Stegostoma tigrinum: one gene and its partner. The main gene of each other region encodes a partner of the protein of the gene in region 2 in a complex. Links are inferred from orthologs where the notes say so. Each region holds a gene or a part of one and is shown on either strand. Other genes may lie near its edges.

Region 1 (7,819 bases), on a different chromosome or scaffold from region 2:
TCGATTCCTCCCACTTCCTACAGACTAAGGGGGTGGCCATGGGCACCCGCATGGGACCCAGCTATGCCTGCCTCTTTGTAGGTTACGTGGAACAGTCCCTCTTCCGCACCTACACAGGCCCCAAACCCCACTTCTTCCTCCGTTACATTGATGACTGTATCGGCGCCACCTCTTGCTCCCCAGAGGAGCTCGAACAGTTCATCCACTTCACCAACACCTTCCACCCCAACCTTCAGTTCACCTGGGCCATCTCCAGCACATCCCTCACCTTCCTGGATCTCTCAGTCTCCATCTCAGGCAACCAGCTTGTAACTGATGTCCATTTCAAGCCCACTGACTCCCACAGCTACCTAGAATACACCTCCTCCCACCCACCCTCCTGCAAAAATTCCATCCCCTATTCCCAATTCCTCCGCCTCTGCCGCATCTGCTCCCACGATGAGGCATTCCACTCCCGCACATCCCAGATGTCCAAGTTCTTCAAGGACCGCAACTTTCCCCCCACAGTGGTCGAGAACGCCCTTGACCGCGTCTCCCGCATTTCCCGCAACACATCCCTCACACCCCGCCCCCGCCACAACCGCCCAAAGAGGATCCCCCTCGTTCTCACACACCACCCCACCAACCTCCGGATACAACGCATCATCCTCCGACACTTCCGCCATCTACAATCCGACCCCACCACCCAAGACATTTTTCCATCCCCACCCATGTCTACTTTCCAGAGAGACCACTCTCTCCGTGACTCCCTTGTTCGCTCCACACTGCCCTCCAACCCCACCACACCCGGCACCTTCCCCTGCAACCACAGGAAATGCTACACTTGCCCCCACACCTCCTCCGTCACCCCTATCCCAGGCCCCAAGATGACTTTCCACATTAAGCAGAGGTTCACCTGCACATCTGCCAATGTGGTATACTGCATCCACTGTACCTGGTGCGGCTTCCTCTACATTGGGGAAACCAAGCGTAGGCTTGGGCACCGCTTTGCAGAACACCTCCGCTCGGTTCGCAATAAACAACTGCACCTCCCAGTCGCAAACCATTTCCACTCCCCCTCCCATTCTTTAGATGACATGTCCATCATGGGCCTCCTGCAGTGCCACAATGATGCCACCCGAAGGTTGCAGGAACAGCAACTCATATTCTGCTTGGGAACCCTGCAGCCCAATGGTATCAATGTGGACTTCACCAGCTTCAAAATCTCCCCTTCCCCCACCGCATCCCAAAACCAGCCCAGTTCGACCCCTCCCCGCACTGCATCACACAACCAGCCCAGCTCTTCCCCTCCACCCACTGCATCCCAAAACCAGTCCAACCTGTCTCTGCCTCCCTAACCTGTTCTTCCTCTCACCCATCCCTTCCTCCCACCCCAAGCCGCACCTCCATCTCCTACCTACTAACCTCATCCCACATCCTTGACCTGTCCGTCTTCCCTGGACTGACCTATCCCCTCCCTACCTCCCCACCTATACTCTCCTCTCCACCTATCTTCTTTTCTCTCCATCTTCGGTCCGCCTCCCCCTTTCTCCCTATTTATTCCAGAACCCTCACCCCATCCCCCTCTCTAATGAAGGGTCCAGGCCCAAAACGTCAGCTTTTGTGCTCCTGAGATGCTGCTGGGCCTGCTGTGTTCATCCAGCCTCACATTTTATTGTCTACACCTTGGTATCTCAGATTCTCCAGCATCTGCAGTTCCCACTAACATTGACACACATTCCAGTATCAATTCAAATCCAAATAACAGTCTTCAAGGATTGAGGTTTACGCAAAAGAGCTGATGACATCAGCTACAATTGGAGGAACAGTGTGGCCCCATAGCTTTGGGTGCTGCTGGTCCTTTGGTTCTTCTGGATGACGATGTCTAATGTGTCCTTCTATTTGCAAAGATGTAGCTGCCGAAGAGTTGTCCAGCAGTAGCTGAGTCAGTATGCTTCCACCTTCAGAGAGGGTCAACAGTGCAGAGAGGCCAGGGAGTCCGGCCTCTGCACTAGGCTTTTATGAGCTTGTTGTTTCCAATTAGAATCCTTCTGAACAGTGTGTGCTGCAGCCCCCTCCTATCAGGCTGAGTCACTTACCTTGCCCACTCAGCATGGTTGTAGCCATTTTCTTTCCATTGCACATTTTTGATTTTAAGGGTAACGTAAGGTGATAGTGAGTACTTTACAGTGACTCCCAGCCTCAGCCTGACTATGTCAATGTGTAGTCTAATAGCCTTTCCGAGTGGCCCATTCTGTCAAAAACATCAGATTAACATTTCCACAAGTCCTCACCCAACTCATCTACATTCGTCTACATCTATCTACCCTTTCCACCCAGACTCAAGCAAACAAGGTGAACATGCCTGGTTTGTCATTCATGCCCACGCCTTGAAGCCAGGGTACTACTAACCATGAACAATTGCTCCTCCGTCATAACATATGTCCCAGCTATGCTTTACAACCTGGCACACATCAAAATTCTGCTGGATCCCTCCTCGATTGTAGTGCACCATTTGCACAGTGGGCATTCCCCAGTCCCAAAGGCTAACGTGTTGGTACAAGACTGTAGCCACTATTTCACCCTCACCTGTCCAAACCACTTACTTTCTGAGAATGGAACTGGCAGACTGACAGTGGCCCACTTCCTCAACCAAGGGGTAACTGGACAGTCCCAGGCCAAATGTGCCCAGTCTCTTGACTGCCATCTATACATCTCCCTAACCATATTATTGCTGCCCTTTGGATTGGCTTCAACAATGTCAATAGACTGACCTTGGCCCACATAGATCCTCTTGAGTGAAAACCCACCCAAAGGATGCCTGACATGGTCAGTTGCCTGGACTATATTGAGAAGTTGCCTATGATGTACTGTGCTGGGATCTTCCCTGACAAAGAGGCCCTTGGGCTTCTTTGAAGATTATGCTTCAGAAATTTCTGAAGAAGGGTTCTGACCTGAAACATCAGCTTTCCTGCTCCTCTGATGCTGCCTGGCCTGCTGTGTTCCTCCAGATCCACACAGTGTTATCTCAGACTCCAGCATCGGCAGTTCTTACTATCTCTGGTACATAAAGTTACCCATTATAGATAATCAGAGAAAATTATCATGCATTAACAGAACTGTTCATTACCTCTAGTCAGTTACACTTCTATTAAGTTTTGTACAAGCATTGCCTACAAAGTCTCTCTCAATGCTATGTGTGTGCATTGACATTGGCTGTTTGGTATCTCGTTGCTCCTGGTGTGTCACTTCCATGGCAAGTGCTGTGACTATGGTAACTGTTGTTACCGATTCATTTCCATTGCTAAGGGATGGTGGTCAGCTGCATACAGTGAAGTACAGGATCTTCAGCTGAATGGCAATGTCTACGGGTTGTATTTTTTTAGCCTCCTTGCTGTTTCATTCCGTAATAAGTCTGAAAATTCACTATTTTTCAGTTGAATACTTATTACTGTTTTGGATATTTTCTTTTTACAAGATTTAATGTACACCACATTACTAGTGATAACTGCTTGCTTTGCTGTAGATGCCTGCTGGGGATATTTCAAAAAGGGACTGGCTGGTTTTTGTTTTATCTGGTTCACCATTCAGCTGCACTTTCCTGGCTGCCACAGCTTGCATGTAAAAGCACTCTTAGCTGAAGTAGAGGTCAAACGATTACAACAAGTCATCCAGTACACCAAGTACAAATGCATTTCTCAAAGCAGTTATATAATATATTTTTACAGAAGCAAATATATTTTAAATAAATATTTCTTGAAAAAAAATCTATACAAGTACTTCCTGGTTTGCAAAGCATTTTAGAATTTCTTGTGAACAAGGCTGGAGGAACATTATAGTTCTGATCCCATTACTCCACGCGTCACAACATATAATAGAAATCTTTTTTCCAGGCATCAAAATGGCCAATTAAATGCTTTTTCTATATCATATTTTTAAAAAAATCTTTGAATCAGGTTGCTTAATAAAATACAATTTCAAATTTATCAAAGTACAAGTAATTTAGTAAAGATACAATAATTGGTTAGTGTTCACAGGCAGTAGTAGAGATGTATAAATGTTTCTCGTTCTCAATATCTCCACAACACGCATGCTTCGGGGAAAAGAGAAAAAGAAACAGCAGACATTGGCTATCTGGAAAAATGGGAAAGAAAAACATTTTTGTCAAGAGTTATTCTTAAAGGGAAAAGGATAAAGCAGAAGATGTTCCAATGTGCACTGTTCTGATGTTCTGGCATATGTGGTAAAATCATACATGTCTCTGAAGTCTTGTAAACACAGTTTGCTCATGGAATACAATCTAGCAATGTATTGTCAATCATTCTTTCATAAGAACAAATAAATTCCACTCAACAAGAGAGTTTTTTCAGAAATGAGAGAGAAGAGCTCGGCAGCTTTTTGTTAGAAAGCTCTCCCTGACTCAGCTTGTTCTTAGCAAGCTTCCCTCCAACTGAACCAGATAAAACAAAAACCAGCCAGTCCCTTTTCGAAATATCCACAGCAGACCATGCAAACTTAGCAATAACAAAATTGTTCAGCACAAAGATAAATCTACACCACTTTACTCTTCTGGTACAGTAGTTGTGTCTCTACTTTTTGGTAGGTTCAAGTCGCATCGACTCCAGAAATGCGTAATAAGATTGATCAGAAAGGTATATAAAACTAACAACAGCTAAGAAAGTCCTCCATTGCAGGGGTATGCTGCTGGGCGGAGCAGAGATCTTTAACTCAGCGGAGTACCTTCTTGCATTCATCCTGCCTATCGTTGTTTATATGGCCTCATGTGTATATGATTGGCTGGTGTATGTCACATGCTTGTGTAGCCGGAAGAGAAGCAGCGGTGAGAAAGTGCGGTAGCCATTTTCTGTCCAACGGTGTTACTTTTACTTTTTTTAAAAAAAGGTAGTGATCATCGCAGGGGACGAGCAAGGGGGGCGCAATTGTTTCTTGCGGATGGACGTAAAGATTATTAAAAAAAACTTAGCGCCGTTGGCAGGAGGCCTAGGTACTCTAACCTCTAGCAACAAGCGTCACAACACAGATAGGGGTCACAGTAACCCATAGCAACAGGGGTGACAGTAACCTGTAGCAACTAATGTCACTTACACACCGATGGGACAACTGTAAAGTTCTGAATCTCCTTAGGTTATTTAATCATTTAAAATATCATTTCAGTAGATTAATGGTTCTTCACAAATCCATGACATTCTAATCCTGTCACGATATTCTCACGATGTCCTCGTATTTGGAGATGAGGCATGACTTGTCATTGAGGTTGTTTTTCCGCATGGTCCGTCTATATAGTCTCCGATGTGATCAGTACCTGAGCACAATATCAGGCCCACTGATACGGAATGTAGTTGCCTCCTCTGGCCTTCAAGGGTTGCACTGACTAGGAATTCCCACACCACTGAGCATGTGATTTGAAGGAGGTGTCGTGATGATCTGATCTTTCTGTACAGGAAGGAAATTAGACCAGCATGTCTGAGCTGAGTGATGACTCAAGTGAGACCGAGCTTCTGAATCGCAGCTTGTCCATGTGGCATGGCTTTGAACAGCTAGTTGGCTGTGAGGACCTGGATGTCCCTTTAGACCTTCACACGGCATCATCGATTGGACAGTATGATGTGGTGAAGGAGTGTATCCAGAGGTAAGAGCAGGAAGACTGTTAGTTGCCAGTGAGACCCAATGTGCAAGGATAATAATTTAGCCAGCATAAGCATGTTTACTTAAAGATGTGAATTCTTCCAAATTAACTTTTACTCTGCTTGTAGAAACTATTAAACTGGCTGATTTATGAATCCTCATGTATCATTACATCAGGTGCTTCCATACCTGAATGCTGTCAATTGATCCACCAAATCACTTCAGCTGGAAAGTGCTTATGTGGATTACAGATTGATGGTCAGTATTATCAATCTGTTGATAATTCCACTGAAAATCATTACATCAGCAATCCTAGAATGAAATCTTCATCAGTAGTGCCAGCGTTCAACACACTCCAACAAATCCAAAATCATATCTCACCTTCAGGAACCTGCACACTCTGCCAAAACTAGCCCCAACATAAGAATCCCTATTTAGTGCCTGACACAGTTACAGAAAGTGAAAACCAATGTCAAACTGTAGGGACTGTAACTTATCATCTTGCATTTCAGACAGGTGTTGACGGTACCCGTTGGTCGAGGGAATCTTTAGTGACTGGGTCTGTCTGTGTGTGTGTATGTGTGGACCTGGCTCAGTTGTGTATGACAGGGGAGTGGGAAAGTATCTGGCACTGTGTGTGTGTGTGTGTGTGTGTGCATGTGTGTGTGTGTGTGTATGTGGCTCAGATGGGGTTGGTATGTTTGTGTGCGGACCTGGCTGGCTGTGTGTGGGGGAGCGGGACTGTGAAATTGGAATGATTTGTTATTTGCCTTGTTTAGAGGAAAAGTAAACCCGAATCAGAAGAACCGGGGAGGCTGGACACCTCTGATGTACGCGTCATATATTGGTCATGATACTGTTGTTCACCTCTTGCTGGAGGCAGGAGTGGATGTCAACATGACAACAGAGAGAGGGCAGAGTGCATTGATGTTGGCAGCAAGCTGTGGCAATGAGAGCATTGCCTACTTCTTGCTTCAGGTCAGTATGTTTTGGGGTCAGTGATTATGCAGTGTGGTCTGGGGCAAGTTAGTGGTATAATTTGGATTATGGAAACAGTGATGGAGATAAAGTAGCACCATTCAGGCAACAGAATATCTTGGGTATGTAATGAATGGGATTGAATTGGTGCAGAGACATTAAAAGGAAACTGTGACTATAACACACATCACTGAAAGTTGATAAAATGTGAGGCTGGAAGAACACAGCAGGCCCAGCAGCATCTCAGGAGCTCAAAAGCTGACGTTTCGGGCCTAGACCCTTCATCGGAGAGCTCTGAAACCAATCCTTCGAGAGAGCTCTGATGAAGGGTCTAGGCCCGAAACGTCAGCTTTTGTGCTCCTGAGATGCTGCTGGGCCTGCTGTGTTCTTCCAGCCTCACATTTTATTATCATGGATTCTCCAGCATCTGCAGTTCCCATTATCACTGAACGTTGAGCCAGTGTACAAGGCAATAGAACTGGAATGCTTGGATATGTAGCCACAACAGATGTATATGATTCCACAGCAATTAAATTGATGATGTATAATGCACAGGGCAGCTCTCTTTTTACCATAATGGTTACCTCAAGATCATAGGTGTATTTATCCGGCAGAACTACTGAGCTATTAGGAAAGATTACAGACTACGTCGAGGAGAGAAGATGGTTTGCAGGATATTGTTCAGGATATTAATATTGAGTGGGAAGTTTAGGGGACATATCATTGCAAATGTTTGATGCAAACGAAGCTGCAGAAGTAGAATCAGATATCAAAATTTGGGCTTCAGTGGAAGGTTTTGGACATGGAGGGACTAAGGTGCAGTAGGAGGGTTAGGGTACTCGAAGGATTGGTTTCAGTTGGTACTGGAGGTTTGGGTTTACCTGGAAGTGTTAAGACACAAGAGGGCTGAGATTTGATGAGCTGAATTGCTTTTTCTTTCAAGCAGCAAGGGGCTGAACTGGAACTGAAGGATCACAGAGGCTGGACTGCACTGTTCCATTGCACGAGCACTGGACACCAGCAAATGGTGAAGTTCCTTCTGGATAATGGGGCTGATGCAAATCTAAAGTAAGATACGGGGTAGATATGATTTGCATGTCCTTCATCCTGAGAGCATATTCTTTGTTCAATGTTTTGTTCACTGCTCACACAAATATTAAACATCTGCTAATGCACAACAGGCCTACCTGTATTTAAATGGTTAATAGTGTACAAG
Region 2 (7,800 bases):
ATTGGATAATCATATGGACGTACATGGAATAGTGTAGGTTAGATGGGCTTCAGATCAGTATGACAGGTCGGCACAACATGGAGGGCTGAAGGGCCTGTACTGTGCTGTAATGTTCCATGTTATGTTCTAAAAATTATTTCCTGAGGCTCACATCTAGCGTACACTTTGGCATCGACCAACTGGACAAAGTTAACTATTACTCCAGGGGAAGACGAAGGCAATTTGGTGAGTAGTCTCTGGAACTCTAGGTTATTGCACAGTGCGTGAAGGGTGAAGGAGAAAGTTCAGTGTCAAGAGAATAGAATGAGAAAATGGCCAAACAACTCTTAGTTCATTTCTTCCTGCTTCTCCATCTTCCATGCTTCTTCCCATCTCTGGAATCGACATATAAAGCAGCATTCTATTGTATGGCAATTGAGTGAATGATGTTATTTGTCTTAAATTAGTATTGGTACACACCAGCCTGACCTGTAAGAATAGTGGGAGAGTGCTGATGTATCACCGGTGATCATTGCAAAAATGTATGCCTATGATCGCCTAGCATAATTTACACAGCAAGAGAAAGAATCAGCAGGTGTCAGGAACACAGTTCAGTAATGCTGTGGGCAGTAGCAGGTGCAAAGCTTGAAAACAGAAGGAGCTGCCAATCATAGAATCCCTACAGTGTTGAAACAGGCCCTTTGAGTCAACAAGTCCACACCAAACCTCATAGCATTCCATGCAGATTCATCCCCCATAACCCACCTAATCTAGGGCAATTTAGCATGACCAATTCACCTAATGTGCACTTTGGACTGTGGGAGGAAACCGGAGCACCTGCAGGAAACGCACACAGACACTGGGAGAATGTGCAAACTCCACACAGGCAGTTGCCCAAGGCTGGGATCGAACCCCGGTCCCTGGTGCTGTGAGGCAGCAGTGCTAACCACTGAGCCACCACGACACCCCCTAGTTATTCAGCTGTTGCCAAAGGATATAAGTGAATGTTATATGTCAGTTGTATGAAAGACATGATGTTGGAATGTGACATGGAGGTGGAGGTCTAAAATGAAGAAGCTATCAACATTCTGAATGGAAGCAGGAAAAGTGAAGGATCACAAACTATTCAAACACCAGAACTAAGAGGAATACAAGACCTTTTTCCTTGTGAGCAATAGCACCATCTGAGTGATATCACTTAATTAAGAAGATTTTCACTAAATTAGGTAAAGAAGATTTTGACTGACAGGGGAATAAATTATTTACACAATGAAAGTCCTTTTAGAATTACTATCTCAAATAGAGGAACAAAAGTTTGAGTCTAGGCAATGGTCTTAAGAATAGAAGTACATCTACAGTTATGTGATGAAAAAACTACAAATATGGAGGCCAATAATATTTAGTAGGTGAATTCTGAATAAATTAATTCAAAAATAGCTTGGAAATTCACACATGGATGACAGTGTGTCTTGGATCACAGTGCATCCAAGTGGTTCTTTTCAGATTCGGTTAAATGTGGTTAAGAGAAGGCTCAACAATAGCAATTTGCTTAAATATGAACATTTATTGAGTTATAATAAAAGCTGAAAAAGAAAGAAACATTTATTAAGTAAATAAAAAGAATGATAAAGAGAGGAAAAAAACAATAAGCCTCCCGCCCTTATGCCTGTCAGGGTCCCCTTGATCGAGGGCTGGTCTGGAGGCTGAGTTGTTTCTGGCAACATCTGCAATCCTGATCCGAGGTGAAGTCCAGTGACTTGGAACAAAACTCTCTCTCTTATACGGTGTAACAAACAGCAAGGCAAAGAAAAAAACAATTATAGAAAAACACGATTGTGCTGTCTTCAGCACATACAGGAATGCTCACTGGACTCCTTCAAGGTCGTGCAGCTTTCGAATATCATCATTGACTTTTAGCCCTTTGGTACATCCTATCCAAATTACAATCAGAAATGGAGGTGCTTTCTGGTTTTGGAGACACTGAACAAACGAACAGACAGCCCCATTTTTAAATATGGGGTGGCATAAATACAAGTGTTTCAAAAGATTTGGAGATTACATAACTGAATGATAGAGGAAGTTCTCCAAGAAATCTCATATCTTAGAGAATAGTGGGAAAACTGAGAAGAATCACTGGTGAATTCCTGAAAGCTGTGGCACCAAGGACCGGGGTTCGATCCCAGCCTTGGGCAACTGCCTGTGTGGAGTTTGCACATTCTCCCAGTGTCTGTGTGGGGTTCCTGCAGGTGCTCCGGTCTCCTCCCACAGTCCAAAAATGTGCCCATTAGGTGAATTGGTCATGCTAAATTGCCCTAGATTAGGTGGGTTATGGGGATGAATCCTAAAAAGTGTAGACTCAGTTAGATCCTGCACGTGCAAGGGAACACTTGGGTGGAAATAAAGATCATAAGATATAGGAGCAGAATTAGGCCATTTGCCCATAAACACTATTAACAGGGACTTTGCATTGAGATTTTTGCATTGAAAATCCAACTGTTTACAAAATAGAGTGTTAAACTAATTATACTTGTTCTATTTAGCTCTTGTACAGTATGAGTTCTTTTTGTTTGAAATGTGGATCTATGACACATTATTCTTTCAAATAATAATTGGTAGTTTGAGTTGGGGTTAAATGTTAATAATCTCCTTCAAGATTGTAACATCATTTGAAAAAAATTCAAGCCAAAATGGAAAAATCAGGACAGTGGCACTTTATGCATTTCTCCATCAGAGTATTAGCATAATCAGAATGGTCTTCTTCCGTGCTAAAAACATTCTGTAATCATCTGAAAAGGAAGAATTTGCAGGGAGCAGGGAGAAAGCCAGGTAGTGGAACTAGATAAATTGCTAATGCCTCTGCACACATGAAAGATCAAAAAGCCTTCTCCTGTGCTGGGATCATTCTGTAATTTTGTCTTCTACCTAACCAGATCTGGTTGTGTGGGGTTAAGGTCTAGATGATAGGCATGTTTACCTGGGAGATGGTGCTGCTGTTGGATGAACTTGCTTGACATGGGATTTTAAGCTTCACGTGAAGGTACTGGTGTTACCATAAGACATATGACCATAGGCCATTTGGCTCAAGGAGTCAATTTTGCCATTCAATGAGTTCAGTGGCTGATCTGATAATCCTCAACTCCAATTTCCTGCTGTATCTCAATAACTCGAGAAACCCTTCCTGATCAAAAATCTGTCCGTCTCAACCTTGAACGCTGTAAGACTGTGACCCCTAACCAAGGACAAAGACTCAGGAGATAGACAGGATTCAGGCACGTAGTGGACATTTAGTCAAGCAAAAACCAGTTAATGCAGGGAGAGGGCCAAATAATCTTCCTTGAACCTGGCTTGGACATGAGAACACAATTGTTCCCTTAATCTGCATCTCAGATCAGAAAAGAGATCAATCACATGCTGATTTTTACAGTAAAAATGGAGTATTTTTATACATTTTGTTTTACAATGATCATACACAATGTGGTTACTGTACCCTCACCTTCCTGTCAATAGGACCAATCCTGTAAAACACCTGATCAATGATGGGCATTAGTATAGACAACCCTCGAATCCCTTAGCCTTTTAACAATTACTGTAATCTTTAGACTTTGGGACCTTTCTATGTTGCATTCCAAAGTTACTGGTCGCACTCCTCTGGCCACCTCGTGGCCCGCTCACCTCTGAGGACTGACTGGATTCCACCGTTTACTGCACTTGTCATACTCATCAAATTTTATTACTTCTTTTTAATTTAAAAAAAGTTAATTCTGTTATAAAATTCATATTAAAATTGTGTAATTACTTCTACAGTTAACACTCTTTAGTTAATGAGACAAGATATGCTAGACATCTCTTTAACGTTTTCGTTTGGTGCCTTCATTTTTAAGTTTTATAATGACATTGAAATTTTTCGTGATTTAAAAAAAACCTTTAACTAGAACCAAGTAACACTGTAAACAACTTCAAAGAAACAGCCAATCTGCGAGATAACACATTTAATGACCAGCCTCCACAGTCAAGAATTCCAGATTATTACCATTTGAAAGAAAACAAACTGTCTTAAACAGGCAATTTCTTTACTCTGAGATTAAGCTCTCTGCTCCAAAACTCTCCCACAAGGAGAAACAGTGTCTCCTCATCTACTTTGTTAAGCTCTACAAGAATCTTGTTTCTGTAAGATTGCTTCTCATTCTTCTAAATGTCAGCTACCCAACCAAGTCCAAACTACACGACCTCTCCCCGAAAGACAATTCCCCGCATCCCTGCAATCAACATAGTGAACTTTTCTCTGAATGGTCTCCAATGCCAGTGTATCTTTTCCAAGGCAAGGAGATCAAATTTGTTGACATAGTCCAGGGTGAGGTCTGACTAATGTCTTGTGTAATTTTAGCCACACCTCCCTATTTTTAGGTATTTTCTGATCAACTCAAATGTTTTGCACATGCTGATGGAACTTGAACGGAAGCCTCCTGGCTCAGAAATTAGGTCACTACCACTACACAAGGCTCTACTGATTTTCCAATGCTTTAAACTGCCCTCTGTGGGTTGCCCAAGCGTCTTCAGTTTTTAGTAGCACGGACACCATTGCTGTCTAATAAACCACAAGATCAGACTTGGGTTGCAGGTCCTGGTCCTGAAACACTATTTCATTCAAAAATTAGAGGCGTGATAAATTTGGTCATCTGGTTTATTTGCCGAATGTTTAGTCCATTTCTCTCGTATGCTTTGGGACTTCAAAAAAGTAGCCAGCCTCATCCCGGAGCGAGTGCATACAGAAGCATCACGTAGATTGTTCGGCAGCCCCCTCGATCACTGAGGTTAGTGTACAGCTGGGCTCTGGGACGCGCATGAGCGCGGGGTTCCCATAGTCAGAAGCAGAGCCTGGGGAAATCCCATTGTGACGCATGTGGTAGCGTCATTCGGCACAGCCTATTAGCCAGCCCTTTGGGAACAGTTCGACGTGTCGCTCGGTACTGAAGCCTCGTCCCTCCTCGCCGCGAATCGCGCGGTTTCGGGGCTCTTCAAATGAAGTCGGGAAGGAGGCGGGGAAACGAGTGAGACGGTGGTGTCTGATTGGTCGTTCGTCATGTCAATCGCAGGGAGGGTTACTTGGGCTCGGCCCTTCTGTTTTCTGCACCGACCCGTCAATAGGGTTCAGCACCGGGAGAACTGACCTCAATTGGTCGCTATAGTAACGGGAAAGACGGTTCCAACGTGCATCAGGGTTCCTCGCAAATCCCGACTGGCGACCAACTCCGGCGTGAGAGGAAAGAAGAACGTCGCAGCGATGTCGTTGCTTCAGGGCTGGACGCTGATGGGCGACCGGGACGCATCACCTTTGCTGTTGCCGCCTAGGCCTTAAAAAAAAATGGAGTGCGGGATCCCCCCAATCTACCAGCTTCTGTTCCGCGCCTGCGAAGAAGGAAACTTCGAGAACGCCAGGCGGCTGCTGGAGCCGGCACCGCGAGACGGCGACGAGGAGGATGAGGAGAAGAAGAAAGAGGAGGTAGAGCGGGGCGAGCAGGCGGCGGGCCCGGACTTCAGGGCCCCGCAGGTGCCCGTCGACTGCACGGACGACGACGGCAACTCGGCGCTGCAGTTCGCGGCCGGCCACGGCCACGAGCACCTGGTGCGGTTCCTGCTGATGAAGGGCGCCTCGGTGGACAGCCGCAACCGCTACGGCTGGACGCCGCTGATGCAGGCGGCCCGCTTCGGGCAGCTGGGCGTAGCGCGCGTGCTGCTGGAGCACGGCGCCGACGCCAACGCCGCCAACAAGCTGGGCGCCAGCGTGCTGACGGCGGCGGCGCGCGGAGGCCACGTCGGCCTGGCGCGCGCCCTGCTGGAGGGCGGCGCGTGCCCGGATGCGGGCGGTGGGGGCCGGCAGCAGCGGGTGGGGGAGGGGCAGGAGCCTGCGCTCGCCCCCGCCTTGACACCCCTGATGGTGGCGGCCCAACATGGCGCTGAGCCGCTGGTCAGGGCCCTGCTGGAATGGGGGGCTTCCTGCTCCGGAGCGCCTGCGGGACGCGCTGGGGGCTGGAGCGCCCTGATGCTGGCGGCACTCAACGGCGAGCTGGCCGTGGCCCAGCAGCTGGTCGATGCAGGCTCGGATCCCAATCAGACGAACGTGGGAGGGATGACCGCCTTCGAGATCGCCTGCGCCTGTAGGCAGAAGGAGATCAGAGACTACCTGGATTCCAAGACCACCAATCGGCCCAAATCAGGTAGGGGTTTGAAGGGGATGGCAGCAATGCAGATGCTGGAAATCTGCAATAAACTCAAGACGCTGGAAATAGCAGCACCATCGTAGAGAGAAACAGAATTAACGTCTGCAGTCCAATATGTGCTCAACCTTAAAATAACAGGGGACTTTTTAAAATTCATTCACGGGATGAGAGCGTCGCTGCTAGGCAGCATTTGTTGCCCATCGCTGATTGCCCAGAGGACAGTTAAGTGGCCTGCTGTGTTCATCCAGCTTCACACTTTGTTATCTTGTTCTATTATCTTGTCAATGTAGCTGAAATTGACAACACTTCCAACCAGAAGGTGGTGTATTCGGCTCCAACAAAATCCAGCACTGGCATAGTGTTGTGATATAACAGGTACTTTCCCGATGAAATGTAAATCAGAAGAAATGCCTAACCTTGTGAGAGGATAAGGGTCTAGGCCCAAAACGTCAGCTTTCCTGCTCCTGTGATACTGCTTGGCCTGCTGTGTTCATCAGCTCTGCACCTTGTTATCTCATGTATGAGTATAATTTATGCTCTTTCATAGAGGAACAATGACATTTAGTCATAGAGATTTACAGCAGGGAAACAGACCCTTCATTCCAACTCATCTATACCAACCAGGTATCCTAAATTAATCTAGTCCTATTTGCTTCCTGATATTTATCCTTTATCGCTGATTCTTGTAAAATGGATCACAACATGACAAGCAACCTTTGAGAGATAATGGGAACTGCAGATGCTGGAGATTCCAAGATAATAAAATGTGAGGCTGGATGAACACAGCAGGCCAAGCAGCATCTCGGGAGCACAAAAGCTGACGTTTCGGGCCTAGACCCTTCATCAGAGCTCTGATGAAGGGTCTAGGCCCGAAACGTCAGCTTTTGTGCTCCTGAGATGCTGCTTGGCCTGCTGTGTTCATCCAGCCTCACATTTTATTATCAAGCAACCTTTGAGCTTGCATCACCATTTTATCAGACAAAGACTGGTCTGATTTTCACTTCAATTCCACATTCCTGCATACTCCCAATAATGTTTCATCCCCCTTATAATCAAAAATCTATCTACCGATGCCTAAATTTGGATGGGAATTCAGAAGGTCTGGTTAGTACATCTGTGGGTGGCAAAATTAGTGGTATAGTCGACAGTGAAGAAGGTTATCTAAAGTTACAAAGGGATCTTGATCAATTGGGCCAATGGGCTGAGGACTGACAGATGACATTTAATTTGAATTAATGCAAGAGTTTGTATTTTGATAAAATGAACAAGGGCAAGATTTATACAGTTAATGGTAGGGCTCTAGGCACTGTTGTAGAAGAGAGACATAGGAGTTTAGATACAAAGTTCTTTGAAAGTTATGCCCTAAGTAGGCAGAATGGTTAAGAGGGCATCTAGCATGTTTGTTTTCATTGCTCAGACCATTGAGTGTAAGAGTTGGAACAACATTTTGAGGTTGCACAAGATGTTGGCGAGGCCACTTTTGGAGTACTGTGTACAGTTCTGGGTGGCCTGCTTTGGGAAGGATATTCGTATTAAATTGGAGAGGGTGCAGAAAAGATTTATCAGGATTTTGCTGGGATTGGAGGATTTCAGTTGTAAGGAG

Evidence for each region. The genes of interacting proteins can lie anywhere in the genome.
Region 1: the proteins of ankyrin repeat and SAM domain-containing protein 6-like (region 2) and anks3 are in contact, whole or in part, in a crystal structure (PDB 4NL9), measured with the Homo sapiens proteins. The link is inferred for Stegostoma tigrinum from reciprocal best matches to the Homo sapiens genes ANKS6 and ANKS3. Residues at the interface, in NP_775822.3 of Homo sapiens: Glu796, Gln797, Glu798, Val799, Asp800, Glu802, Ala803, Thr806, Leu807, Asp811, Glu814, Leu815; in NP_597707.1 of Homo sapiens: Lys441, Tyr442, Thr470, Leu471, Phe472, Gly473, Pro474, Arg476, Lys477, Arg484.

What each region holds. Positions count from the first base shown.
Region 1 is NC_081376.1:31,370,819-31,378,637, reverse strand, and holds the start of anks3 (ankyrin repeat and SAM domain-containing protein 3), read left to right. Parts: upstream 1-4,799; 5' UTR 4,800-4,984; exon of another isoform or gene 4,985-5,441; 5' UTR 5,442-5,459; coding exon 5,460-5,629; intron 5,630-6,404; coding exon 6,405-6,603; intron 6,604-7,549; coding exon 7,550-7,671; intron 7,672-7,819. UniProt on the Homo sapiens protein: May be involved in vasopressin signaling in the kidney.
Region 2 is NC_081355.1:20,773,823-20,781,622, forward strand, and holds the start of ankyrin repeat and SAM domain-containing protein 6-like, read left to right. Parts: upstream 1-4,791; 5' UTR 4,792-5,341; coding exon 5,342-6,194; intron 6,195-7,800.